Linked DNA regions of Schizosaccharomyces pombe. The protein of the gene in region 3 interacts with the protein of the main gene of each other region in a biochemical or structural test. Each region holds a gene or a part of one and is shown on either strand. Other genes may lie near its edges. The genes, in order: pct1, pcm1 and cdk9.

Evidence for each region.
Region 1: the proteins of cdk9 (region 3) and pct1 form a complex in vitro, tested with the Schizosaccharomyces pombe proteins (one study listed by BioGRID).
Region 2: the proteins of cdk9 (region 3) and pcm1 form a complex in vitro, tested with the Schizosaccharomyces pombe proteins (one study listed by BioGRID).

What each region holds. Positions count from the first base shown.
Region 1 is NC_003424.3:2,675,168-2,687,075, reverse strand, and holds pct1 (RNA 5'-triphosphatase), read right to left. Parts: upstream 9,991-11,908; 5' UTR 9,937-9,990; coding exon 9,703-9,936; exon of another isoform or gene 9,649-9,702; coding exon 8,971-9,648; 3' UTR 8,450-8,970; coding exon of another isoform or gene 8,027-8,449; 3' UTR 7,785-8,026; downstream 1-7,784. Other genes in the region: bcs1 (iron-sulfur protein assembly ATPase), read right to left, coding at 1-670; cdr1 (serine/threonine protein kinase (NIM1 family) Cdr1/Nim1), read left to right, coding at 5,530-7,311; dut1 (deoxyuridine 5'-triphosphate nucleotidohydrolase), read left to right, coding at 8,027-8,449; ESCRT III complex subunit Did4, read left to right, coding at 11,106-11,387, 11,470-11,520, 11,678-11,908. UniProt on the Schizosaccharomyces pombe protein: First step of mRNA capping. Converts the 5'-triphosphate end of a nascent mRNA chain into a diphosphate end.
Region 2 is NC_003421.2:124,070-135,001, reverse strand, and holds pcm1 (mRNA 5'-cap (guanine-N7-)-methyltransferase Pcm1), read right to left. Parts: upstream 5,310-10,932; 5' UTR 5,174-5,309; intron 5,115-5,173; 5' UTR 5,072-5,114; coding exon 3,989-5,071; downstream 1-3,988. Other genes in the region: BTB/POZ family ubiquitin-type ligase substrate adaptor Btb1, read right to left, coding at 1-3,485; rRNA processing protein Enp2, read right to left, coding at 5,804-7,708; GDP-Man:Man3GlcNAc2-PP-Dol alpha-1,2-mannosyltransferase Alg11, read right to left, coding at 9,024-10,439.
Region 3 is NC_003423.3:1,468,568-1,473,682, reverse strand, and holds cdk9 (P-TEFb-associated cyclin-dependent protein kinase Cdk9), read right to left. Parts: upstream 3,116-5,115; 5' UTR 3,004-3,115; coding exon 2,861-3,003; exon of another isoform or gene 2,810-2,860; coding exon 2,728-2,809; exon of another isoform or gene 2,608-2,727; coding exon 1,057-2,607; 3' UTR 501-1,056; downstream 1-500. Other genes in the region: DNA-binding forkhead transcription factor, meiotic Mei4, read right to left, coding at 1-489; wdr8 (WD repeat-containing protein), read right to left, coding at 3,596-4,608, 4,648-4,723, 4,796-5,115. UniProt on the Schizosaccharomyces pombe protein: Component of the positive transcription elongation factor b (P-TEFb) which consists of cdk9 and pch1, and which phosphorylates the C-terminal domain (CTD) of RNA polymerase II and spt5.

The DNA.
Region 1 (11,908 bases), on a different chromosome or scaffold from region 3:
CGTCGTCTGTAATCATTTTTTTAACATTGCTTTCAAGTACAACACTAGAAAGCATCCTTTTTGATCTAGGGTGCCCGAAAGGCTTCCATTCAGTGGCCCAAGCCGTGTATATAGTAGTCTTGTTTTTTTGAGCACTTTGCATGAATTTTTGAGCTTCTAATAAAAGTTCGGAAAAAATTCCACGATCTCTTGAAAGAGTGGTAAGAGTAATTGTCTCCCAAGGTGTTCCAGTTGTTAAATCTTGCAGACGATTGCTACGCTCTCGTTCTACTTGAATCCAACACTTTTTGTACTTTATGTAATGCTTTCCAGGACCTGGAACGAGGCTGAATATACGATTTGCAACTTGCTTGTCAGGTTTTTCCCTAGCATTTTGCGGCATTTTGAGTTGTCTGTTGCTTTCAACAGCCAGCTGATTTGAATAGCGTTTAGGCACCGTGCTCATCCAATGCAAAAAGGCATTATAACTTTTTTCTTTGCTTGGAATTTCGACAGACACTAGCATCCTTCTTTTTACTAAGCTTGCTCCTGAAATAAGCCCACGACGTAATATGGCTAGCCCAGCACCGAAACCCATTAAACCAATACCAGCACCTAAAAATGAATTTCCACTTAGTAACCCAGAAATGCCAGAAGACGTCGCTGCATCGGCAGCACCTATATTATCCATTTTTAAAGTGGAAAGACGATGAGAAGAAGGGAGGAAAGTTAATATTAATTTAATTCTTCAACGTAACGATAGCGGTTTCTTGCATATAAAGGAAATTTTTGGTATAAATAATTCATAGAAACAATTAAACCTTTATGAATATAATCAATTCTTTACGGAGGACATGTATAACAAAATATTGTAGTAAATCAAATGTCAAAACGCATATGTCAAAATGACCAGTAATTGATAGGTTTCAAACAAAAAAGAAATAAAATGTTCAATGAAGAAATTATATAATCCAATTTTATTGGAATGTTGAGAAAAAATGGAGGAGTTTTTGGTATGAACGAGGTTCTGGGTGAGGTTCATGTAGCCAACAATTTAGTGCTTTGCTAAGAAATTCCAAAAGTCTATGACTTCCGATAGGAGCGAAATAGATATGTTAGAACTAAAGAATAGTATAAAGCTAATTACATGAAACTGTTTTTCACATTGTTAATGTTTGTTTTAAACTTTTAATACCAGCTTGAAAGGTTCTGCTTGAAATAGAGAGAGTAACTTTGCAAAATATTTAACTTTTGACATTGAAATATTTTATGTAAAATGTTGGAAGGATGCATCTTGCTAGTGTTTAATATTTCCAGCCTACATGTGTGTGTTTACTACCCAATTTTTTAGAAATTGTTGCGAGTCTGGAAATCTAAGATCAAAAGTAAAGTATCATATCAAACCTATCCAGTGACAGCAATTGAGTAATTAAGAAAAAATTTCTTCCGAGGTCGCTTGATCTGGACTTTAGAAATGATACAAATGTTAGAGCCTGTAAATAAATTTTTTAATGACTTGATCACATTGATGATGGTAGCATATAATAAATATTCAGAACAAAATAACTGCATATAAATTTGCATTTCACACTAAGATAAGTAATTGATGTAGAACATATACATCCCGATTCTTCATGGCAGAAAAAACGCTTGCAAGTATGTTAGTGATTTGCAATTTTGCACTTGATGAATATAATTAAAAACTAAAGCTGCATCCAAAACATAATTAAATCGAGGCTGATGTATAATATTAATTTTCTTACAGGTATTCGTAAGAGATCGTACTTTGGAAAAAAACTAATGACTTTTAAAATCATTGGGCATACTTTAGTATGAAATTCAAATTGTATTTTGAACTGAGTTGGTGATTATGTATATGCACACTTTCTTTAAAAGATCAAAGATTTTGACAAAGAAAATTCTCTTGGCGAACAAAGAAACATCAACAAAGAACTTGGGAGGAAAGAAATAGTCATTGTTAAAAGCTAAGAAAGGAAAAGTCTTCGAATTTGCCAAAACATTAAGAAATTCTTTATATACTCAAATCAATGTATTTTAACCCACTTGCACTTCTTATACAGGTTTTTCAAGATGCATTTATATTTACATATACTGGTTACCCTGCTATCAATGTTCAACATCATATTCAAGCGTTTTCAAAACCAAAAAAGTTATACTTACAAACCTTGAGTTTTTCATTTCATTTCTTTTTTCTTTCGAGATCAATGAACATACTAAAAAGAATTCATTCAAGCTGAACACCTTCAATGCCTTTCATTGTTTAAAGACTTTATTATATAATTGTACATAATTTAACACAATACAAGCAAGTCCCGAGTGGCTCAATCGGTTTAGAGCGTCTGACTCTTATGATGGTCATCAGAAGGTTGCGAGTTCGAGTCTCGCCTTGGGAGGTTATTTTTTAATGTCTATATCTTACAAGTCCTTCTTATGTTGCAGTAGTGTAAATTACCGTTTTTAACCATCGTGCAACGTGGAACACAAAATTGACTAAATTAGGAAATCCCATTTTCAAAAACTATTATTGACTTCATAAGTTATGAAATGAAAAAGTTTTATACAACAGATCAGATGATGATGAATATTGTGCTAGCGTAATAGCATCTCCACTTTTCATCTTTGGAAACTTTTGCAAAGAAGGGATGTGAAAAATCAGCCTTCAACTTATCCTTTCGTAAGTGCAGCTCCACTCCACCCGGGGGTATAGAAATTACGAAACATCTTGAAAAAACGTCAACGAATGCATCAACAAGATCTTAGCATGTTTCGGATATGTCATGGTAAAGTTCGATTGCTTTGTGCATCTCCGTTAGCAGCTGCATCAAGCGAGTATCCAACGATGATCATCTCGATTCGTTTTGTGTGTTCATGAAACCCACGCCTTGCGTATGAAGTTGCCCACTTTGTATGACAATGAGATAATCTTACACTGCAATAAGGCCATATACCCGTAGTTGTTGGTACGACCACTCACATTCCAAAGTCCAACTCAATAGTGAAGAAATTCATCATTGGCAACAAGTCATCAACACTTCGTTGCTGTTGGACACTTCTACCAAACGTTCTTTATTGACAACTTTGAACGGCTTCGGCTGCATTCCCGAGCCCTGTAACGCCTATCTTTCATGTGGCTCGGAATGTAAACCAGAAACTCAGACAAATACCGCTGTTGGATCGCACTGATGATATTTGTTTATCGAGGCTGTGTTCATTTTTCTTAGTCATTTTAGCGTAACGAACTGACACCGAAAAATATCAAGCAATCAAGTAGATCCATCTGTCCAAGCACCAACCACATCTTTGCTCGATAATCAAACTTGGATTACCGATAGTTAAAGGTGAAGGATCGGTTTTGCTGGTTTCATTCGATTTTCCAAACATCGTCGATTCAGTAGACTGGGGTTGAGTCAGTATCCAAGCCATTCTTGCGCTCAATTGATAATTATGGTAGGTTACCCAAATGTTGTATGCCAACTGTATTACTTACCCGTGGTTATATTTTGAAAACAGCGAAACTGTGTAAACAATTTCTGTTTGTTTCTCAATTGTTTGTGGCGTACACGTATTGCAGCTCTCAAGTTGCTATAGTATATTTTTATTGTCTAATAAAAATTTAATGAATTTATTTAGTTGAAATATTTGCAGTAAGAATGTTCATGTTGATATACCATGTAAAAAAGTCACATAAAGTTGAGCAAGCTGAAAAAGAATAAGTTTTCGCCTCCAAATATAAAAATTTCAATTAAATTGTAGAAAATTATAGATTCTTTATAATATCGTAATTTCTTAAGCGGGGCCTATAGTCTTTCATCAACTTTTCACGACAGTCGTTGTTATTCATACCATAGGATGAAGACGATTTCAAACATCCAATATTCGCTTATAATGATGAAATGAACTTCAGTAACCCGTTCAATACATTCATTATATACTGAGATTTCATCTATTATTGAAGCAAGTTTCAATGTTTGGCATGAAGCCGGCTCTAACACTTGTCAGATTTCAAGTACCTGTTTTCATTATTTTTTTTGCTCAAATTTTCAAAAAAAGTGTAATGGCATGTGTTATCAGATATGGTATGCATCATGTCCCTGGTTATCCCCGAAGTAGAACGGGTTCTTGACCGTGCTACCAAGTCGTGTTACTTTTCGATGAAAAACTGGAATTCCCTGCTAAAACTACACGAGTAAAACAAGAAAAAATATTCATCTATTGCAATAACTTGCTCCTAGATTGCCAAAACGAGTACTACGTAAACAAATGTGAAAGAAGCAGAAAAGACTGCTAAAGTTGCTTTTAACGAAAATGTAAATAAGAGAAGAAAAGACAACTTTAACGGTTCGATTTTACTACAATATGAATATTAATTAAACTTCATAAAGCGAAACTGAAAAACTAAATAAAATTTGCTCTACAGCTATAAATCAGCTGTTAATATTCAAGTTTTTATCAAGACAGCACTATGAGCCTGAGATTACCACCCTCAAGGACTAGAAACCAAGTAGTGGATTGCTTCCGTTCCTTAAGTCATCCTATCGTGATCCGCCGAAATAATCGTAAGCCTTCAATACACTCTTCATATGTTCCCTGATCAAGTCCAAGTAGTGCCCCACCCTTCCCTACTCTTGAACACTTATATCCGCTCCTCCAGCATTCATGTTGTCCTCTGCCAAACTTATCTTGGCCAATTCCGTCTTTTGGACTACTCTGCATAAGAACTCAGCATTGTTTTCGATTTTAGGAATTGCTGGGATCCTGTTTGTATTAATATTGTAGATCGATATTTTGAAACATCTGTAGGCCTTCTATATAGTGGGTTGTTCTACATATTATTTATTTATTCATTCATCTTTCTTTGTTTTACTTACTGTTCTCCATATTTTTATCTGATTATACAGGGTTTGAATTAAAATCCGTTAGTTTATTTTATTCTACCTTTTTCAACTATTTGACCGCCCCAATATTTCCATTTTTACTTTCTCCTTTCTTGTTTCTTCTCTCTTTTAATTTATGAAAGTTCAATCCTTATTCGAATATCATTAACTTAACCTTTATTGGATTTATACATCACGAATCTTATACACTTTACATACTTTCTTTATTTTACGCTCCCCTTCGTTTCTTTTTCTTTGTCTTTACCTTTTTTTATTGCTGTTACTCAAAACGTCTTGTAACTTACATTTGTTATTTGTGTTCTTGTGCTACTTCCCATTTTTTTTTCAAGGTCCGTCTATTTCCGTTCCACGTTTCACTTTTCTGTTCTACAATACACTCAGAAAAGTGCTTTAGGTTATTTATGAGGCACTCTTATTTTATTAATTCGTTTCCAGTATCTATTTTGTGATCACACCCTATTTTGTATCGTGGTGTCATTCACTTTTTCCTTTACTTATTCCAAATTTCATGCTACTTTTTCGACATTTATTCTACTTTTCATCATAAGTATTTCAGATTTTCTGAAGTTGCTATTATTCAGTCTGCAATTTTACTTTTGGAAAGCCTTTTCCCTTAATAAAAGGTTAGATTTGAATGGTGAAGCGACACAAAAATACTATTGGCGTATGGCGTCTTGGGAAGACTTTAGGGACTGGTTCCACTAGCTGTGTGCGTCTTGCCAAGCATGCTAAAACTGGTGATTTGGCTGCCATCAAAATTATCCCTATTCGATATGCCTCCATAGGAATGGAAATCTTAATGATGCGTTTGTTGCGCCATCCTAATATTCTTCGACTATACGATGTTTGGACCGATCATCAGCATATGTACTTAGCACTCGAGTACGTCCCTGATGGTGAGCTTTTTCACTATATACGCAAACATGGACCTTTGAGCGAAAGAGAGGCTGCGCATTATCTTTCCCAAATTCTTGATGCTGTAGCGCATTGTCATCGCTTTCGCTTTCGCCATCGGGATTTAAAACTTGAGAATATTCTCATCAAGGTAAATGAGCAACAAATTAAAATAGCTGATTTTGGCATGGCCACTGTTGAACCAAATGACTCTTGTCTTGAGAATTATTGCGGCTCTTTACATTATTTGGCTCCCGAAATTGTATCTCACAAACCATATCGTGGAGCTCCTGCTGATGTTTGGTCTTGTGGTGTCATCTTGTATTCATTGTTGTCGAATAAGCTCCCCTTTGGTGGTCAAAACACAGATGTTATTTATAATAAGATTCGCCATGGCGCATATGATCTTCCTTCTTCAATTTCTTCGGCTGCGCAAGATTTGTTACACAGAATGCTAGATGTAAATCCAAGCACGCGTATAACAATTCCGGAAGTTTTTTCTCATCCATTTCTAATGGGCTGTACATCATTGAGCTCTATGGATAGCACTACCCCTCCTACCCCTTCACTGTCAATTGACGAAATTGATCCATTAGTAGTTGATTGCATGTGTGTGCTTTGGAAAAAATCATCCTCTAAAAAAGTCGTTCGTCGTCTTCAACAGCGAGATGATAACGACGAAAAATATGTGTATAAAGTTTTATCCGAGATTTTGCGCGATGATATGTTGAAAAAACAACGTTTTGATGAAAATAAATATCTCAGTCTTTACGATTTAATTCACGACAATAATCTTTTCACCAAAGCTTCTATTTCAACAACATCGTTAGTAAAATCCAATGTTTCGACAAACTCTCGCAAAAGTAGTAATTTTGAAGATGAACTTGCTAGAAGAGTTTCTAGTCCGCTTTCAGCCTTAAATCAAATGTCTCAATCTCCAATACCGATCAGGGTGTCTTCTGACAAGGATTATGACAGCTATGCCTGTCATGAAGTAGTTTCAAACCCATCGACTTTGGATGATGACTATAATTATATGTTTGTTTGTCCACCAGAAGAGTATACTTATTCAACTGATAATGTTAGAACTGATTCTCTGGACTTACAATCTCTCCCCACTCCTACCCTTGAGCAATTAGAATCCGTACCATTCAATCGGTATGGCTATGTCCGCATCTTTCCTAGCACCACTCTGTCTAGCACAGCCAGTGGCTACTACACTCCTGATTCACTTTCAACTCCTGAACCATCAATAGATGGGCTAACCAATTTGGACGATGTCCAGGTTGGAGGCTTTGTTCAAGGATCAGGCAATCAAAATAGACGTCCCATATCTTTTCCTGTAATCAGTAATATGCAGCCGAACATAACTAATGTGAGATCTGCTTCTGCTCCTTTATGTTCATCTCCAGTTCCAAGTCGGAGATATTCTCAATATGCTACTAATGCAAGATATACTCCCAGAAAAGTTTCTTCCGGTTCTGTATTACGAAAGATTTCTTCATTCTTTCGGAAGGATTAAATAGGAATTTTTTCAAAAACACAGTCTTCTTCCTCAAAATCAACCATTAATGTCTATACTGTGGGCGGCTATTCAAATGTTAAGATCTGTTTATAATTTAATGAGGATGATAATTATTTTTTTTGGATCTCCCGTCGTGTGTACCTGTACCTTTCTACGAATTTAATGATCTTTTTTGGCAATTGGACCTTTGAGTCTATTAGCAATTTAATGGTTTTAGGGTTTTACGTTATATATCTGTTAATGATTTGGGCACACTAGTTTATATATGTAACTAATGAATATCTTCTATTACAATCGCTTTCCAGAAATCAGTAGTCTGTATAAAGTAAAATTTTGTTGTGAACATTAGTTTTATATGAAATTTGGGTGTTTTTATGTAATAACGTCTGTTGGTTTTTGAAAATTGTCGAATATTCCGGAGTGTTTAGTAATAAAATTGAGGTTTAAGAGTTATCGCAATAAATAAAATATGAAGAAATAATTCCTATAAACGTTTACCTCTTTAGAAAGTTTTTATACACTGTCTACGTTTATATATTAGGTATGTTGTACGGTGTATATCTTGACTAAATGTAAACAAACGCGACGCGCCGTCAACCGCAACGTGTCGCGTAACTTCAAATTTATATGCAACGCCAGTATCTATTGCAAACACTCATTCCCAATCAAGAATTCTATTGTCTGTGAAATTACACAGTTTTATAGTTTAAACATGAGTTTTTTCGTTCAAAAACTTTCTGAAAAAGCAACCATTCCTACTAAAGGCTCTGCAAATTCTGCTGGATATGATTTGTACGCGGCTGCTGAATGTATAGTTCCAAGAAGAGGAAAAGTTTTAGTGGATACCGATTTGGCAATTGCTGTTCCTGAGGGGACTTATGGTCGTGTTGCTCCAAGAAGCGGATTAGCTTCAAAACATAGCATTGACACTGGCGCCGGTGTGATTGATGCAGATTATCGTGGCCATGTTCGTGTTTTACTTTTCAATTACAGTGATGTTGATTTTCCTATAAAGGTCGGAGACCGGATAGCCCAACTTATTTTGGAAAGAATTGTCAATCCACCAGTCATACTTGTAGAGAGCTTAGAGGCTACAGTCCGCGGTGCTAATGGCTTTGGAAGTACCGGTGTTTGAGGCCGCTTTTAAAACATAACCTGCAATCAAAGGTTTGGACACTTGTATTTTATAATGCTATTTTGTATATTCGGTATGAAAATTCTTCAATAAATATTTTTATTGGGTGAAGTAACTGAAAACTTTGCAATTAAAGGAATATAGGAGTTGTAAGCTGCTCTCGTAAAGATACAGTAATTATAACGAATGATGTTATCAGACAAAGCTGATCCTTAATTTAGGTGTACATTTAGAAAATGTACGTAGAAATTCTAACTACCCGTCGTAATAGGTAAAAAAAAAAATAGAATCATCCAAGATTAAGCCTCAGTTTAGAATCACCGAGATACAAAATCGAAAATTAAAATATGTGCATGGGGGTTTATACCTAACGTGACTTTCTTTTACCTTGATTATTGCCCAGTATGAAATGATGATTAAATTAAAGTAATTAAAAACCCCTTTACATTCTGATGCAAAGCAAGGAACAATTATTAAGAAATGACTTAAGAATGTCAAATAAGTAGCAAAAGTGTAAAGAATTAAGAATGCTCTCGTCTCAAAATACGAACATTGTCCATAAACAACTGTACCCTCCGAAACAAAGGAGCTTCCATTCCATCTTTGGCCTTTTGAGCACGATCTCTCAAATCCGCGATGTTACCAAACTCAACTTCTAGCTCATGACGTTCAGTGGTATCGTAAACTGGGTCATTTTGAGTAGTTTTAGTCAAATCAATTTTAATTTCCTGATGCACATAGCCAACGCGATCTTTAAGTCGTGTCAAACTTGGTTGTTGATTACCTGAAGGCATTGAAACAGGTAATTCGTCGCTGATGGAAATTCGTATATCAAAAGCATCATTAGGGCAATATAAAAATAAATCAGCAACTCTTCGCTTTTTCACACAGGCCAAAACTTGATTGTCACTTTGATTTTTTGAGACGCGTATTTTATCTCGTGAGTTATCTTCAGTTTCATAGAACAAATCTACTTGCTTTGTATGCTTATAGGCAAAAGGAAGCCGTCCAGGTTTTTGTGAATCACGAAATGCCTGATTAAGAAACTCATTCAAATATTTATGCTCGGAAGCGGTCATATCACTTTCAAACCGAGTACGAAGATTAAATTCCGGGTTTAAAATAGTTTCATTCATCACCGGAAACTCAAATCGATTTTGAGTTTCCAAGTCAATTAATGTACCAAGTTTCGCCTCAATCTAAAATAAGAAAAAATCAGTTAGTAGAACGTATGACTAAAAACATTTACCAACCTCCACATGTTCAACAGGTTCAGTTATCAAATAATGTGTAAGAAAGTTTGAAATAACTTTAGTCGTATCTGGAACAATCGGTTTATTTAAGAAGTTCATTTCTATCTTTGGTACAGCTACGGATTTTGTCCTTTTTCTTTCGACTTTATCGTGTTCCACAGCATTTTCATCTATCTTTCTTTTTTCAATAGAAGGCAGTTCGTTTTCTTCATGTAATAAACCTTTAAGGTCCATTCGTGATGAATTCGTACTTTTCTTAGTTAATATGGTTAGTAGGTGTACTCACTTAACGTGTACATCCACGTTGCTAAGTTTGTCCCAAAACTGAAGTCAACTAAATTGTTCAATAGCATTACTTTTAATTATACATTTCTTCTTGTAAACATATTAATTGATTCTGACACTGTCACTTTCGGTAGTTCCTTTTTGCCGTTTAGTACTTAGTATACCGACAGGTTGTTTAACATATGCAAAAAGGATATATTAAAAATGGGATTTGTTGAATAAAATAGTTTGATGTGAAATTTTATCAGATATAATACGTATGATTACCGTTAAGTATGAAAACCGTATAGAAACTTACAATAACTTTATAACCGTTCGTGTCGATTTCGTACCTCTATCTGGATGAGTTAGGTTAGGCTACGTTCGTAATTTGTTTCAGGTATAAATCAAGTGTATCGATGTGTTAAAAGTGTGGAAGTAAAGCTATATTGAACTTATCAAACATTGCTAGCTAAGATGACAATGATGTTGATCTTCTTGTCAAAAACTCAAATACTCGCTTGGCATGTTCAAATGAAGCTACTCAAGATGCTTGGTTTAAATACCTCTTTATATAATTTTCAAACTCTCAACTATCCAGTTTATTGAACTGTTAAACTATCAAAAATTAGTAAAGTGTGATACATTGTAAAGTATGCTATTAACTAATAAGCTATTTATTCAACCCAGTTTTACACACACAATTACTTAGCTTTTTTTGAGCCCTCTAAATCAGTTTAATAACTGTAGTATTAAGCTTTTCCTGGATGTTTTACATACGTTTACAAGGTATGATATTTGACTAGATCTGCTTGCTAGAGCATAATAAATACACATTTGCACACATCAATTGTAGCAATTGTTTGTAAAATAACCTTTCCTAGATAGACAAATTCAAAAAATTTTAGTTGGAATTTTTATCATTAATCTTCTGATTGAAAATATATATAGTTAAAAGTCTAGCTTATCAAAAATATAGACTTTAAATATGAAAATTTGTTACGATTTATGTGTTTTTCCAATATAGTAGTTAATATACAAAACGTACTACGTATATAATGATATTATATTAAGCCATTTTGTGTCGTGTGTGTTATCAATAACTAAACATTCATGAGCACAACCACAGCGAAACGCTCATGGGCTTAACTTCTTGGCTATTTGGAGGGGGGAAGTCCCCTCAAGAACAGCTGAGGGCTCATCAGAGATCTCTTGGTCGAGCTGAACGGGAATTGGATCGTGAACGAACGAAATTGGACCAAAGGGAGCGAGCGCTTATTCAAGAAATTAAAGGTAGTGCAAAAGCCGGAAATACTGGTGCTGCCCGTATTCAAGCTCGGGATTTGATGAGACTAAGGAATAGCCGTAAGAAAATGATGAATGCAAAAACGCAGCTACAAGCTATATCTTTGAGATTACAAGTAAGTCCATTTGATTGATAATCTTCACTATATGAGATTTTTTAAATTTTTTCGTTTAACCATAATGCTAATCTTTTTATAGACGATGAGAACCAGCGAACAGATGATGCAGAGTATGCGAGGTGCTACCAGGGTAAGATTACACTAACCCCATTGTTTATTTCTTCTTTCTGATTTATGGAAGCCGTAAATAATCAATTGAGGATCTTCTGGGTTTTAAAAGAAAAGAATTTCATAATGACTTTCCTTTCACCTTAATATCGAAAAATATAGAACTAACTTTTACAAAGTTATTGACAGGGATGAACAAAAGCATGAATATACCGGCAATGGCTCGTATCACTCAGCAATTCGAGCGTGAAAATGAAATTATGGAACAGAGACAAGAAATGATTGATGAAAATATGGACGATGCTTTAGAAGAAGATGACGAAGAGGAAGCTGATGAACTTGTCAATAAAGTGTTGGATGAAATTGGAGTCGATTTGTCTCAAGGATTGCCAGATGCTGCGACCCAAATT
Region 2 (10,932 bases), on a different chromosome or scaffold from region 3:
CAAGGGTTTGAGTGATTCGATTTACCCAACTCGATATCGATGTGGCCAACATTTGTTTTGGAAATAGGCACTTGCTTTGAAAGCTCCTTTTTTTTCTCACGTTGGGATTTTTTAGTTGGAGCTTTCATAAATCTAGAATCAGACAAAACCGTAGTAGTTGAAGCATCAGCTTTCTCTTGCTCCAGCAATTCTCTAAGACTAGCTCTAGTAGTGTTGTTATTATGAGAAAGATTTTCCCTATTCCTCCATGGACTCGTTTTGTCAAAAGTAATTGTTGCAGTAACAGGTTGATCAGCCCCAGGACCATTTAATTGTGTTTTATCCCCTCCTGACGAAGCAGACTCTATATTGTTTTGAATTTCAACAGAAGCTCCTGCTGTCTTTGTAATGCTCGTAACGTTAACAACATTTGGTTTAGGAGACTTCTCCTCAGCATCTTCCTTATTTAATGAATCACTTTGATTACTTGAAGGAACAATTCCAGATTCTAAAATTACTGCTGAAGTGCTGCATCGACGATCTTCAAAAATAGACCGATAAGGGGAATCGTCCCATAATTGAGAACTTTCCTGGGAAAACAAGTATTCTCTGAGAACTTTAAGCTCATAATTTCTTTTTTCCATCAACACTGGATCTCTTATCAATAATCTATTAGCAATCTTGCTAGAAGGAAGATGTACTCGTTGATCAGAAAGCAATTCAGTTAAACGTTGAGCGACTTTTTTTAAATGGAAACCATCCCATTCACTTATACGATTTGCTTCCAAAAAGAATTCAATATTGTGACAAGCATAATCAATACATCGTGAATAAAGCTCCTCAGCGTGATAACTAAGTGAAAGATCCATTAGAGTAGGTAGAGTTTTCAAATTTAAAAAGCGAAGTAAGGATTGCTGGGCTATGCTTTTTAGTTCAAGAAAAAGAAGCTCGTCTGCAATAGACAAAATTTCGAACATAGTTTCCAACCAATTATGAAAATCGGATTCTTTCAAATCGTCAAAAAGCTCAACTTTTAAGTCACTGTATACATGACGAAGAACAATTGACATATGCTCAACAGTCAAATGAGACAAATTGACGGTTATTGGGATGTCAAAACTATTGCTTTCCATAGAAACAAATTGGAAATAAGAACTAAAGTATTCACTGCGGAGACTTAAAAAAAGACCATGTGCCTTGAGCTCTCCATCTTTAAGCTTTATTACTGTATCCATTGTTTCTTCGCATAAGACATAAAAATTATTATATAGTTGCAGAATGTCATTCGTTAAAGAAAGCAAAGGTTGGCGGGAAACACTAAACGGTAAAACCTCCGCTAAATGAGGTAACTCCAGTAAGTTTGCAAGTTTTGAAAGGTTTTCTTTTAAAGGTGAAAAGCGTGAATCAAGATGCCATGGAGAAAGCAATGTATCCGTGTACAAATAATGCAAAAGAATAGCAACCGCTAAAGGAGGAATATCTTCAACTCTAATTGTTGAATGAGATTGAGTGATTTCTTCAATGTAAATGATGTTGGAGACACTCGATTTCTTTTTTTGTAGCAATAATTTTCTCAAAAATGAAGATCGAGCACACAATATGAACTTATGTGAGTGGAACATAGAAGTACCACAATAAATAGTAACATCAGAAAATGATTGCTTATAATTTTCATAACTAGTAAGAATCGGTATAGATCCTTCAAAAAGTAGCTGCATCTCATTGCTGGATGCAGCGCGGTCTTCGTCAAAAATAGGGACTCCGTCTTCATCTTCGGGAGGAATCAAACGTGGTTGTCTTACATGTAAAAGGTGGTCATAGGGAAGTAGTGAGCGCAAAAGATCAATTAACATATTCGAAGGCTTGTAGATTGGCGGTGGAAGATAATCATTTCGAATTGCAAAAAATGATCCAGAAGCGCTCGCACGGACTCCAACAACCATTTGTAAATTTTCAATTCTATTATATTTGTATGGTCCTCTAGAATACGGGCTACTAGATGACTTTTCTCGCTTTTTTGACCTTAACTCCCGTTTCCAACAAGTGCCATTTCTAGTACATAGTATTAAAGAATTATCAGCGGTCCACGCAATATCTAAAGCTGCAAGGTCTGAAGATTCAAAAATCCATAATGGAGTAAATTTGAATGAAGTTCGTGTGGAATTCTTGGAAGAGGTAGAATCACGATCAAGTAAAAGCTTCATATCAAATTCATAGACTTCGCCTAGTTCTGTAAGCACGGCTAGTTTGTTTTCTGAAGCTAATAATTTTCTAACGTTAAATCTGGTGAGGGAAAGAGGATGCTTAGTTACCTTTAACGAACTACCAAAGTCAACGTTGAATGGCAATTTCACTTGATTATAATTGCAAAAGGCAATTATACTGTTGTTTTGTAAAAGGCATATCGTAGCACGAGTAGTACAAACGGCATGTATGACAGGCGATAATAAGCCAGCAACTCTCCTTGGAGTAGAAACAACTGAAATATGATCAGATATACCTAATTGGCCATTATTTAACCCCCAGCTGTAAATATCAGTGTCAGTCCAAGCAACGCTATAACTTTTTCCAGCCGCCATTCCAATTATCTGATAATCCTTGAATGCAGAGATACGCCTAGGGGTAATTTGAATTGGATCATCCTTTTTCAGTTCGTCATTAGAAAGTCCCAGTTCACCAGAACCATTCTTTCCCCACGAATAAATACTTCCGAACTTTGTAAGAGCAAGTGAATGGGTATGACTAACAGAAATCTGGATAACTTTATGAATGATACCAGGAATAGGAATAAAGTTATATTGAACGTCCGTGTTAAAACCTATTCTCCCTCCAGCACCAATACCACATACGTAAACATTTTGCGACGGCTCATCCGTTAGTACGACGCTGTGAAATTTGGAAGCCTGCACATCAAGGATTTTGTCTCGGGAAAAGAGTTGACCTGATGTGGGAGACTCTGTTTGGTTTTTCAGTAAAAACACTCTTTCTGGCGATGAAGGTTCTTTCCCATTTGCTATTCCGAGCGTATTGTTTACGTTAGTACCAAAGCCATAAAGTTCATTTCCTATTATCGGTAAGTCAAGAACCGGATGAATAGTGCTTGAAAGGACTCGTGATAAAAATTGAAATGGAGAAAGACCTTCTTTGTCTTTAATACGCAATGATCTGAAGGAGGGATCTTTTGATAAAAGCAAAGACGCTGCTTCCAAGTTGCCAACGTAGATTGCCCGATGCAACGCCGTATATCCAGATTCTTCATCTTGCACAAAAACATCAATGCCTTTATGCTGCAAAAGAGATCTAACAAAGGAATTTTTATTCTCAGAAACGGCGATGTGCAGCACGGTGCGTCCGTATCGATCTTTTTGGTTGATACGGAGTTTTTGTCCGCTCTTTTCCGAAAAACCCTTTCTAGGCTCTTTCACCTTTGAATCATCTTGCTTCAGTAGATTTTGGAATGAGCGAATGTCGTTGCAAAGGTAATACGCGAAAAGCAGATGACTCATTTAATCAATCGAGACTAAAAAAGGGCGCAATGTGAATTTATCATTTAATCAATCGATTACTCCATAAGAAATTTTCTCTCAAATCAATTAAAACGTTCCAGTTTTTTAACTTGACTGTTGCTGAAGAAAAAATGGAAGAAGAGTAGCAGTGGATGCTGGTAGTTGAATACCGACAGGTGCATTGATTTAAGCTATCGCTTAATATTTGAGGCAATTTTTGGGGCAATCTGATTTGATGAAATATGCCTGGGAGCATACTTTATTTATTCGCTTAAGCTGGAATGAAAGAGAGCATGTTACTTATGTATAAAATATATGAAAACAGAAAAAGAAAGAATAAAGGCATAAAAATGAATAAATAAATAAAAGTCATTGCCATCAAAAATTAATCTACATCTTTTAAAGTCATCTTTTTTTCTACCACTGTACTGATCTTTCGAGCGTGAAAGATCTTTCTACAATGCGGTCTGCACAGTGAATCAGTGGGATAAGGAAAGAAAAGACTAAATTCCCCTCTTCTCAAAGGCAAATGCTAAATAAAATCCTGCTGCTTCTTTTTCCTGTCCACCAATTCCACGGTGTCCTTCATTATCAACGACTTTCATTCGATCCATTAGGGGTCCATACGTTTCAGAGTTTTTCTCTTCATTTAAGATGTCCAAAAAAGGTTTTACCCATATTAATTCAAGATTGTATCCTTCGGCAACAGCACGAAAGGCTTCAAAAGGAACTACATATTCAGGAACATCGGTAACAGCATCCTCTAAATAAAAATAATATTGAATTCCATACGGAGGTCGAAAAGAGCGTGGAGGTGATTCAGGAAATCTGACTTTGTATATGTCATTTCCCCATTCTTTTTCTCCTGGTTTAAGCATTTTAATATGTTTGACAATTACATCGGAATTGGGAATCGTTCCTATCATTACTCCACCACGAGGAAGGCATTTAGAAACGTTCCCCAACAAGACCCTAACCTTTTCTTCGCTTTCAAATGCATAATGCATGCAAAACTGTAGAGAAACAACGTCAAATTTTCTTTGGTCTGGGGGAAGTAATTCGTTAATTGAGCTAGAAAAACAGTCGCCAGCGTAGAATAGTGCATCAAAAGAAGCATGCATTTCACGGTATCTCTTCTTGGCCTGATTTACGGAAACTTCAGCTATGTCAATCCCAATATATCCATCAATGCCAGCTTTGTCCCATTTAATTAAATCACCACCTTTTCCACATCCCATGTCTAGTACCAAAATAGGATAATCAGAAGCATGGGGTGCGAATTTTTGTATGAGAACAGATTTGATCCAGTTGTTAAACCTCTTTAGTTGAATAATAGGAGAAAATTGTCGTTTTTTATAACCCAAATCAGGACGCGCGTTATAGTGTGAACGTACCACATCCTGCGCATTACCATTGTTTTCATGCCTATTATAACCTCTGCGACCAGAGTTGTCATTGTTTTGGAAGTAATCGCGACGCCTTGGTTGTTGTTCAATTACTCGATTCATTTGTGCAGTAGGTCTCGCATATCTGCGATTTTCTGTTGGAGGCTGTTCCTCATGCACTCGGGAGTTCGAGCTGCTCATATCTCTTATTATAAATATTATTATAAATAAATGAGAATAGTTTCTTTCAAAGGTTAACGATCTTTCCATCATATGATGACTATCCATCGATCACAAACTTACATACAAATAATTTTCTTCAAAATAATTCAAAAAACAGAAACTTCTTTAAAAAAGATCAAAAACATATGACTTTTAAAACTTGCTTTACTGTCTTAGAGAAATTAGACTATATTCAATAGCATGAGGTTGCAGTGTGGTTGGTATACTGGCGAGAAAAGTAGATGTTGCAATACGAAGTGGATTACCAGATTCTTTACATTACCACAGCTAAGATATATATAATTTGTTGACAATGTTTTCAATTCAGCCAAATTTAGTTTACATATAAAAAACGAACCTGCTTCTAAATAAATAAATAAACAAAACTTGAAATTTTGGGCGACTAATCTACTACTGCCAGATTGCAACAAGAAGTAATCATAAAACAATGATAGATACATAAAGTAGATATTTCATTAAATTGCTTATTGCTTACCTATTAAAAACCGAAATTAATTTTTTGAGCACACGAATCCATCGTATGCGAAACCCAAATACCAACTTGCTAAACCAAAAATAAAGCTAAATGAAGATGTATACAACACAGAAATTTTTTATGAAAAGTGACAGATAATGTATGCACGCCTGCAAATGTTTCTATATCCGCCAAGTAGTGGTAAACACAAATTTGACAGTTCTACCGTGCTTTGGTTACATGTTTCGGAAAACGTTTTTGCTAGCTGAACGTCGACCTTGAGTAACTTGTTTCTTTTTGCCAGACGTTGAATCCTCGTCTCGATTAACAGGTTTAGACTTCTTTTTCTTTTCAACCTTGAATGTCATTTCCATACCAGAGGGAGTACTACGAATGGTTTCTTGAGGTGTCTTTTCATTGCTGACCTGCTGCTCCGTCTTTCTTCTGTCAACAAGTGCATCGAAGGTTTCATTTTCTTCCTCCATATCAGACAGTGACTCCTCATCAGAACTAAACTTAATACCCTTGGTATGTTCCTTTTCTTCTTCGGACTCTTCCGCAGCAGTAAGGCCCCTTGCTTCAGACCTAGAAGGATGTAATTGCTTATATTCCAAAGTATCTTCATCCACTTCAAATTCTTTATCTGTGAATACATTTTTGAAACGTTCGTCTTCAAGGATGCTAGGTCCGTCCGTAACGCCAGTTTTCTTACGCAACTTGTTCTCTTGATAAGATAATCGAGATGCCAATCCAGCATTGACTTTTGGACGATTCTGAGAACGAATCTTGCTTGCACGTTGCTTCTCCAGACGTTCTTTGACAATTTTTTGACGATGTTCCTCATAAGAGAAGGGATTAGCAATCAGTCTTGCCTTTTCATACAGATTATTATCAATAAAGAAACCATGCATGTAAGCACGAATAACACCTGTTCCAACAAGATGATCTAAACCGAGATTAAGGAGTTCTTTCTTAGTTACGAACTTATAATCATCATAAATAGTAGGCGCGGGATTTTCTTCCATTTCTTCTGTAATATTATCGAGGAAGGAACACCAACGGGGAGCAGGATTTAACGATGGAATATAGAATGCGTGCATAGGAGAACCTTCATTAGCTGTAAGAATTAAACCAGTACCCTCAATGGGACAAACATCGTTCAACTCAACCGTAGGTTCAATAGAGCTAAAAGGCTTCCCTGTATCCTTTTCCCAAATCTTAATGATTTTAGAGTCAGCAGAAAGTACCCTCGCAGTTCCATCTAATGCACTATCCATCCAGTGAAGAGATTTAATGGGCATGCTGTAACCCTGGTCTTTGCTCATGTAAGGACTTGAAGAACGTAAATCATATAACAGGGTGGCACCATCTGAAAGGCCAATCGCAACATTAAGTCCATCGTTCCTATATTTTAAAGCTGTTACAGAACGAGAATTGTCGGAATAAGGAGTAGAAGGTACAGTGCTAGGAATTTCAAGTATTCCAACTCTAGAGCGATCACGAGGATCCCAAAATTCGACACTGCCAGCATCTGTCCCAAAAGCCAACAATTGGTGCATAGGATTTATATCTATTACATTAACACCACCAGTCGGACTGTCAATTTGGGCGCTTTCAATTTTGAGAGGATTTAAAAATCGACCCTGTTCTAAATTCAACCGATAAACTTCATCGCCAGCAGCCGCAAGGTATAAATCACAATTGGGATAGTGGTACTTCAAATCTCTTCCATATTTAGGAATTCGAGTAGAATAATGAATTCCGCCCTGACTGTGAAAATCGACCGTTCGATCAGTTTGTAAATGAACACTTTTGGTCCAGTCATCTGATAGAATCTCAAACTGAACATTTTCAGCATCTGTGTGTCTTTCAAACTTCAAAGACATTTCTGCAAAGTCAAAAACCTTGATGTGAGGTTTGTACACACCAGTTGCCATTGCATATTTGCCGTCTCGAGTGCATTTGATGCGATTACTAGCCTCAGGGTATTCAAAATCTTGTAAAAGTTCAATCCTATGAGACAAAGCATAATCTTTCTTCAATTTCCTTTTACTAATCCAATTAGGTAAGCGTTGGGTTACGCCTTCACCAGAAACTGTGTAAACCCGTACATTATTCGGATTTTGAACTTTAAGAGACATTCCGTTGAATTCAACTCGGAAAAAATCAATTTCTTGATTATAATCTCCCCTATATTTTCTTCTTAAAAAAGAAGCGGTGTTTTGCTTTTGGAACAAAATTCCTTCACTTACTTAACAATACGATTTGATTTAACGAAACTTAACGACATTACTAGCTTTCGCTATAGTTTTTGCAATTGAATGGTTAACAATTAAATGCAATCGAGATTGATTATTTTATAAAGAACTGAGGTCTCATCATTGCCTGAAGATATATACTTAAAATGATTCTATTTATCACGACAAAAAGTTTCTCAAACTTAGCGTATACCGTATTGCATTTCCTTAATGGTATACAACGCACTTATGTAAACTCATATCAAATAGCATTCAATGAATTTCATGGGATGAATAAAAAATTAGTATAGAAGTTCAAAAACTTCGTGCATTAATTTTTCAGACCTAGAACCCATTTACCGTATTCTCCTATTCAAAAACTATTGCTAGACGTATTCTTTTGGAGGTATAGCCTATTTAATTGCCTTTTATAGCCTTTTCGCGAACTTTGGAATGAATAGGTAATAGGAATGTGAGCTTTTCCTTAAACAACTAGTATACCATTAATTTCTCATTGTTAATTGATTGTGATAATAATGTGTTCTCGATTATTATGATTTTCTTTGAATGCCTACCTACGTTGTCAAGTTTGTCAAGGTTTATTACCAGAAAATAATGTTAGCATTCTTAGCTGAAGACCATTTCCATTCAGTAAAAATTTATCGACAACGAACTTAACGGTAAACTAGTTAGTATGGAGATTAGTTTTACAATGGCATTATAGTACTTGTTTAAGTTTCGCTTTTCACAATATTGTCAGCACTTAACTTCGTACCGGCCTAGCCTGATTTTATGCTGTATTTTTTATGAGAAAATTATAATTTTCAAATTTCCTTATTCAAGAATATTTGATATGAATTACTTGAATATCAAAAGAGCGAATCAATTAAATTAAGAAATAAGTACCAACCTGGTACAACAGCATTAAAAGCAGTAAGAAAGAGACAATGAATGAGGGCTTCTCATTTAATAATACACATCGTAAGAGGTGATTAAGAGCCTGTAATTGACAACGTTAATGCCCCAAACTGTTATTTATTATGTGAGAAGAAGTAATGAAGAATTAAAAATTCATCGAAAAAAAGGGAAAGTAAACTGTTTAATAAACAAAAACAGTAATAAACTTTATAAGGATACACCTAACAAATAAGTAGAAACGAAAGGATTTAAAAAAAAATGCCTCATCTTTCATGAATTAAACAGTATAGACAACAACATATTAGGTACGACTGTAATCTTCACGAAGGAGTTTGGCAAACACATTTCCAAAATCGCGCATAAAAACGTGTTCGCCAAAACGAGCGCAAGCTGAACGAGCATTGATTCTCATCTCTAATTGCTCTTGAGGACTCAATGTAAGAGCTTTATGGTAGGCTTCAGCATATTCGCTAATGGTGCTAGCATGAAAACCTGTAGGCTTTCCAATCCATGGAATCACGATATCGAACTTTGGGCCACCCGAATTGTTGACAACAGGTATTAAACCAGCAGCCATGTATTCAACGACACCAATCCCAAAATGCTCATTCCACATGTAATTGACACCTATAGAGCAAGTACCTAGATACTCAACTACCTTGGGCCAAGGAGCATCTACAACAAATTTGACTTTTGATTGTAAGTTGAGTTCAGTCGCAAGGGTCTTCAAATGATTCACAAAACACATGTCTTCTTCACCTCGAACGCTACCGACCAGTAATAGCTTCGCTGGAGAATCAGGATGCTGTTCAAAATAGAGAGCAAAACTACGAAGTACATTTTCATGATTCTTTTCAGGTCTGTATTGTGCAAGATAAAGAAGAGTGGGTTCGCGCTTTCTGTTAATGTCGATCTTTTCAAGCTCTGAAGTGTTACAGGGGGGGAAAACAACGGAGAGTTGAATATCTTTCCCCCAAAGAGATGCAATGTGGTTTCTCGTCCATGAAGAGTTAGTCATCACATAGTCCGCATGAGATCCGGCATCTGAATACAACTGAGCGAACCATCTCCAGTAAGCCATTTTAACCTTAGCAAGTAGAGATACTTGTTTTAAGGACTTTAGCATGTCGGTAGAAATCGTGGGATAATGAACGTACGCGCCGACAGGAATATTTTGGAAGCTTTTAACGACACAAAAAGTGAAAGCATATCCCATGGTGTCAATGAAAATGTCAGGTGCAAATCGATAAATAGCTTCGAAACCTAAAATCATACTTCCTAGCGATTGTCCAAGCAATGTAAACCGATGCCAAGTAGTGGCGGACACAAGGAAACGAAGTTTTAGATAAACAAAAACTATTTTGGAAGAATCCAGGTCGATTTCAAATGTATTCTTGACTCTGCGCAGAATTTCGGCTTTACTAACATTGTCGCCAGTATACACAACAGAAATAACATTTGGAAACTCCGTTTGGACAGATTTGACAGCTGTCCATAATACTCGTTCACCTCCGCCTCCAGCATTGCAGTAAGGATGAAAAAACCCGACGGTTCTTGCTAGTTTCGGCTCCACGCCCACTTGTTTGTATAAACTAGCTTTCACAGGGGCTATCTTTTTGATAAGTCGAATTCCAATTTCCTTGCATATTTTTCTTCGTATATGTGAATGGATGGCGACCACAGCAATGAAAAGAGCAATGGCAAGTGTTGTAATCATTTGGCACGCTACAAAATACAGATGTAAGCAAATCAGTTAAAAGCTGAAACGAGATAAAAATGAGAAAAGTAAAAGAAGGGAGGTAGAAGGATTAGGCTGATGTTTTAACTGTCGAATAAATGAGGTAGCTAGATAGATATGGATGACAAGTTGCAAATGAGAAGCAAGTGCTCTAAACAGTGAAAAAACTTGAATGACTGATAATTAATAATATAAGAAATAAGTAAAAAACCTAAATTAAAGGCTACGCAACACCACAAGCATATAAGACGTTCAAGTCAGTAGTATGAGGTAGTTGCTACGTATAGGTACAGTATGAGTTGAATGGTAGTGAGTTTGGCAAATAATCAACGAACGGAATGAAAAAAGCAACAAAGAAACGACAAATGGATTCATTTAATAATTCATAGATATTTTATAACAAAAAAATTAAATAAGAATGAAACGCGGTTCTAATATTTTTTGTTCACCACAGCGCACAAAACGAGCCCCT
Region 3 (5,115 bases):
CTGCATATGGTCAGGATCAATTGTCCAATAATGACCTTTTAAAGTTTTACCCTTGGGTTTTTCTACTTTGATAAAGGCTTTGTTTAATGAAAGGTTGTGCCTAATGCTATTTTGCCAACCACCATCATGGTTGAGGTAGTAGCGAAACGTGTTGCGAATCCACGTATAAATCCCGCTTAAAGTCAGTTGCTTGTTATGTGATTGTAGGATCGCCAAACCGATTAATGTAGCATAAGAACACGGTGGTTTTTCACCAGTATCCACAAAGCCCGCCATTTCATCTCCAAATATCATTTGTCGTATACTGTCACTACTCAGGTTTTCTTTATTCTCTTCACGAAGCAATGCTTCAGTTTCGCATTTTTCTTTAGAAGACACATTGGAAACATTTTGAGAATCATTAATTTTTGAAGATTCCTTTAATGAAAGGCTAAGTATGACCTTTTTGGGTTTACCATGTGCTTCGACATTCCCTTGATTTTCAACCATTTGAACAATTTAATAATTTTTAGAGTACTGATTATTATATTTATTAGGTAATTATTAATGGTATTTGTGTTATTTTGACTCTGTTTTTGGATGACGGGTTTTGTAGTAGGTAGGTGGGAGAGGGCTGGTCAAGCCGTATACAAACAAGAGGTATTTAACCGAGGTCAAAACATGGGTATGGGAAGGGAAGAAAATACCGTAAATATGTAAACACAAGCAAGGAAAAAAGCAGTTTTGTTGAAAATAAAGTAATTTTCTTTCCAATACATTACTTACAAGTCATGTTTTAAGATTATAAATTTAGTAAATAAATAATACAAATAAAAATCTCCGTGCTCAATTTGCTAAGGTCAAGCTTTTAAAGAAAAAAGAAATATAATTAATTTTCTTTGCTTTTTCCTTTTTGTTTTAAATTTTATTTTGAGCTAGAAAACCAACTTTGGCCTTTAATGAACAGTCGCCATCACGCGGAAAGGCCATTAAAAATATTATGGGATGCTCAGCAAATTAAGTTAATTTAAGATATGAAGAGAAAGCCAAAAAGTAAAAAGAGCACATTCGTATGGATCATTTAGGAGTGTCATCAACGTTGGAATTTTCATGAAAAGAGGGTGACTTCAGATCAGATGTGGATTGTTGGTGCAAGCTAGTAGAAGATGGATGTTGCTCGTTGGTCTTTTGGTTGGCAGATTGTCTAGCAATTGAGTATTCAGGAACATATGAGTCAATGTACTTAATATTGTGTTGTGTTTTGTTGGTATCCGCATTTTCGCTTGCTCGAGATGTCGTTTGTACTTTGCTATTATTCTGGTATCTGGAGGACACATTCCATGCTGGTTGTTGAGACTGGGAAGATTGTCTTCCTTGACGGCCGTAATCCGAGGGGTTTCTTAATCGTTGAGATCGGTCTTGTTCAGGCCGGTAGTAGCGTTGACCGTCTGCATGAGAATGATTAGAAGTTTGATTCATAGCGTTAGTTTCAGAAAATTCGGAATTTTTCTGTGGCAAATCAGACGTTAAAGGTTTAAAATTTTGCTGACGCTTAGGCTGATAATTAACATTACGACTTCTATCCATGTTACCGCCTTCACGATTGTACGAACCACGTTGGTATTGCGGTTGTGAGTTATAATTTGGCCGACGAATTCCATACCACGGATCGCTAGGTCCACGAGTCATGAACCGGAACTGTCTCTTACCATTAGCGGTTTGTTCAAACGCATGTGAATTAGCATCTCTCTGTTCTCTTTTCCTTCTTTTGTCGTACTCATGAGAAGCACTGTAGCTCTGTAGTTCAGAAGGGTTTGCTGGATATGGTGGTGTTGTAAAATATTCATGCTCTAAAGCCATTGAAGCAGATAAACGTTCATCCGGATTAAGGGTCAAAATAGCACCGCAAAGAGAAGTCATTTCCTTTCCGAAAGTAAAAAATGCAGTTTCAAGTGTTCTAGGGTGTGAAGGAAAAGAGCGAACGCCTTCGCACCCAGGAAGCTTTTCCCAATTTGGCATAGTAGCTTGAGTTGGTGATCCACAAAGGCGAAAGATTTTATCCAATTGGTCCAAATCACTACTTCCTTGAAGGATTGGCCTTCCTTTATACATTTCGGCCATGATGCATCCCACGCTCCACATATCAATAGCGGTAGTGTAACGACGCTCGCCAAGCAAAAGTTCTGGTGATCTATACCAGCGTGTAACCACACATCCAGTGTATTCTCTACGATTAGGTGGAGGCAAGCCAGGATTTTTGTTTGCATATGACTCCTCCGTTATCACACGTGCGAGACCAAAATCGGCAATTTTTAAAATCCCGTGATTATCAATCAATAAATTAGCAGCTTTAAGATCTCTATGAAGGATAAGCTGATCATGTAAGTATTTGGTTCCAGCAAACAATTGCTTCATATAGCATTTAATTTGCGGCTCCGTGAATTTTACACTTGGATTTTCTAATAAACCTGAAAGGTCATGATCCATATAAGGAGTCACCATATATATAGAACCACGACGTCGATGCTTCTTGTCTGCACGAACAACAGTCATATCAGATAATGGAATAATATTCTCGTGTTTAATCGATTTTAAAATTTTTATTTCGCGAATGGCTGTAATGGGAAACTAAAATGTAATGCTTTAGTATTTATTCATGAATTAATTAAAACAATTAACGCAATCAAGTCGATGCGTCCCAAGTCATTCTGTCAAAATGAACAAGAATCTAAACAAACATCTACTTACACCTTCCTTTTCAGTATGCATGAGTATTCTTTTCAGCGCATATACCTTCCCGTCCTTACGCCGCTGCGATTTGTAAACTTCGCTGGTGAACCAAGTTAGTGATAAAATTCAAAATCAGATATTTGACACATACCCAAATGTTCCTTCTCCTAATTTTTCCATTAAATGATAATCCGTTAAATGGCTGCACCCTACAAAATGAAGTTTGGGTACGACATCTAATTTTCTCCTTGCTGATTTCTCATCTTCGACAGAAACGCTGCTTGAGCGTTTCATTTTTTTAACTTATATTATACAAAAGATCCCAACGATTAGTGAATAAAGTTAATTATACAAATTGTAGTATAAACCCGATCGATGCGCGAAATGTTGCATCTGATGAGGATATAGTGGAAGTGGACCCAACTATCAACTATATGCATTAAATACGGAGGCGAAGTAAAATGCGCTATGTTTCAAAATGAGAAAACAATACTGTAAGTATAGAGAATAAACAATGCTTTTTATAAAGGGAAAAAGTTGCATTAGTTTTAAATATCTTTCAAAGGACTCCCTAATCTCAAATAAATGCGCAAAGTTTACAATTTATGAATCAGGAAAGAGTAGTTATTAAAACTCAGGAATAGTACGTACTAAATTTAGAAAAAGATAGTTGAATAGACTGAAAAAGACATTCAAACTATAAGAGGTATGCAAAGGCCTTAAGCTGACGGGGTGCTCAGGGTGCTCATGTTTTACATGCGGGAACAATGAACGTGCATTAAAATATTATAGACATTAAGCGAATTAATTAGGTCGTTAGTAAAATAAAAAGAATATTTAAAAATGGTTACAATAATTAAGACTTTTAAGATAGAAAGTAAATCCCTTAAGATGGTATGGAAATCGTTTGCGTTGTTTCTAACTCATTATCTAAAACTTCTTGAGAAATTATAGTTTGAGTAACTTCGGTAAATGATTCATCTTCATCTTCCACAATGTAAGCAACGGTATATGCATCTTCACCACAAATTACTATAACTGGACGAGAACTGAATTCTGATGGTTGAAGCCATTGAACCTTCTGAATATTAAAACCTTTTTTTGGAACTCCAACGACCCTGGGTGTATTCCAACTTAAAGCCCAGAAGTATAGGAATGTAGCATTAGACGGAATTTTGGATTCTTTCCTAATTTTTGTTTGAATGACCACCAAATCGGGACGACCTGGATGCCATTCAAAATACACTATATGATGTTTTTGAATAAGAACAGTGTGCAGTTTTTTATTCTGTAAATTCCATAGCCAAAGAACATTAGGATATTTAGAAGTAATTGTAGCAGCATACGTCTCATCACAGTTGAAACGTATTTTTGATGCTGAACAAAAGGAGGGTTCTGGGAAATCGGTTCTGAGTTTATGTACTTTTTGATAAGTCATTTGTTGCTCATAGATTGTTTCCTTCTCTTCCCATATATGCATTTCCAAGTCAGTATTGGTATATTGCAAACAATGGTGAAGTCGAAAAACTATACTAAAAGTTTTTGTTTCAAGTAGATGTAAGGTTGAATCATGGTAACTGCACAAAGTTAGATATTTGCCAAAGGGACTCCACTCAAAATCGGAAAAGCCGACTTCAATTAACCTATTTGGTCGATATTCGTGAAAAAGAAGACCGGTGCGATGATAAATATAAACAACTGCATCTAATACGTTTTCCAAAACAGCTAACCAGTTTCCATCTGGCGACCAATGGATACCCGTCGAATCTATTGTAGGAAGCTTACACTCTTTAAGAAGTATCCATGCCTTTTTGCTGATTTGGTAAAATTGAAGGCAATCCGAACCGTTAAAACGAGATAATATAGTACAGAATTGCATGGATGGATGTAAAGCGTAAACTAAACAGTCAGTAAATTGATATATCAGACAAGAAATACCTTTCGAAACATTGGTTTTTACATGTGGAAGCAAATAACCTTTCTGGGTATTTAAAGACCACACAGTAATCTTCGACTAAAAAATTTGCTATTAGCATCGCAGATATATAAGCAAAAAGTTGTGCAAATTTTATTAGATACAACGTACATCAAAGGACGACCAGAGAAGCAGTTCTCCAGACGGGCTCCAGCTGATACTACTCAAAGGATCCTGGTCGCACTGTATGCTAGCATAATAATCGTGTTGTACAATATCTAATACAAACACTTTATCAACTGAGGCAACACAAATTTGATGGCATTTTTCTGCTCCTAAATTGGGTTTCCATAACAAGTATACAACCTTTTGAATGAATTGAGCGTTTAGAAGGAACACATGGTGAAGCTCGAGGGTTTCAGAATTTCGAATTAAGACATGCCCAGAGCGAGATAAAGACGCAATCCAATTACCACAATGTGAAACACTTG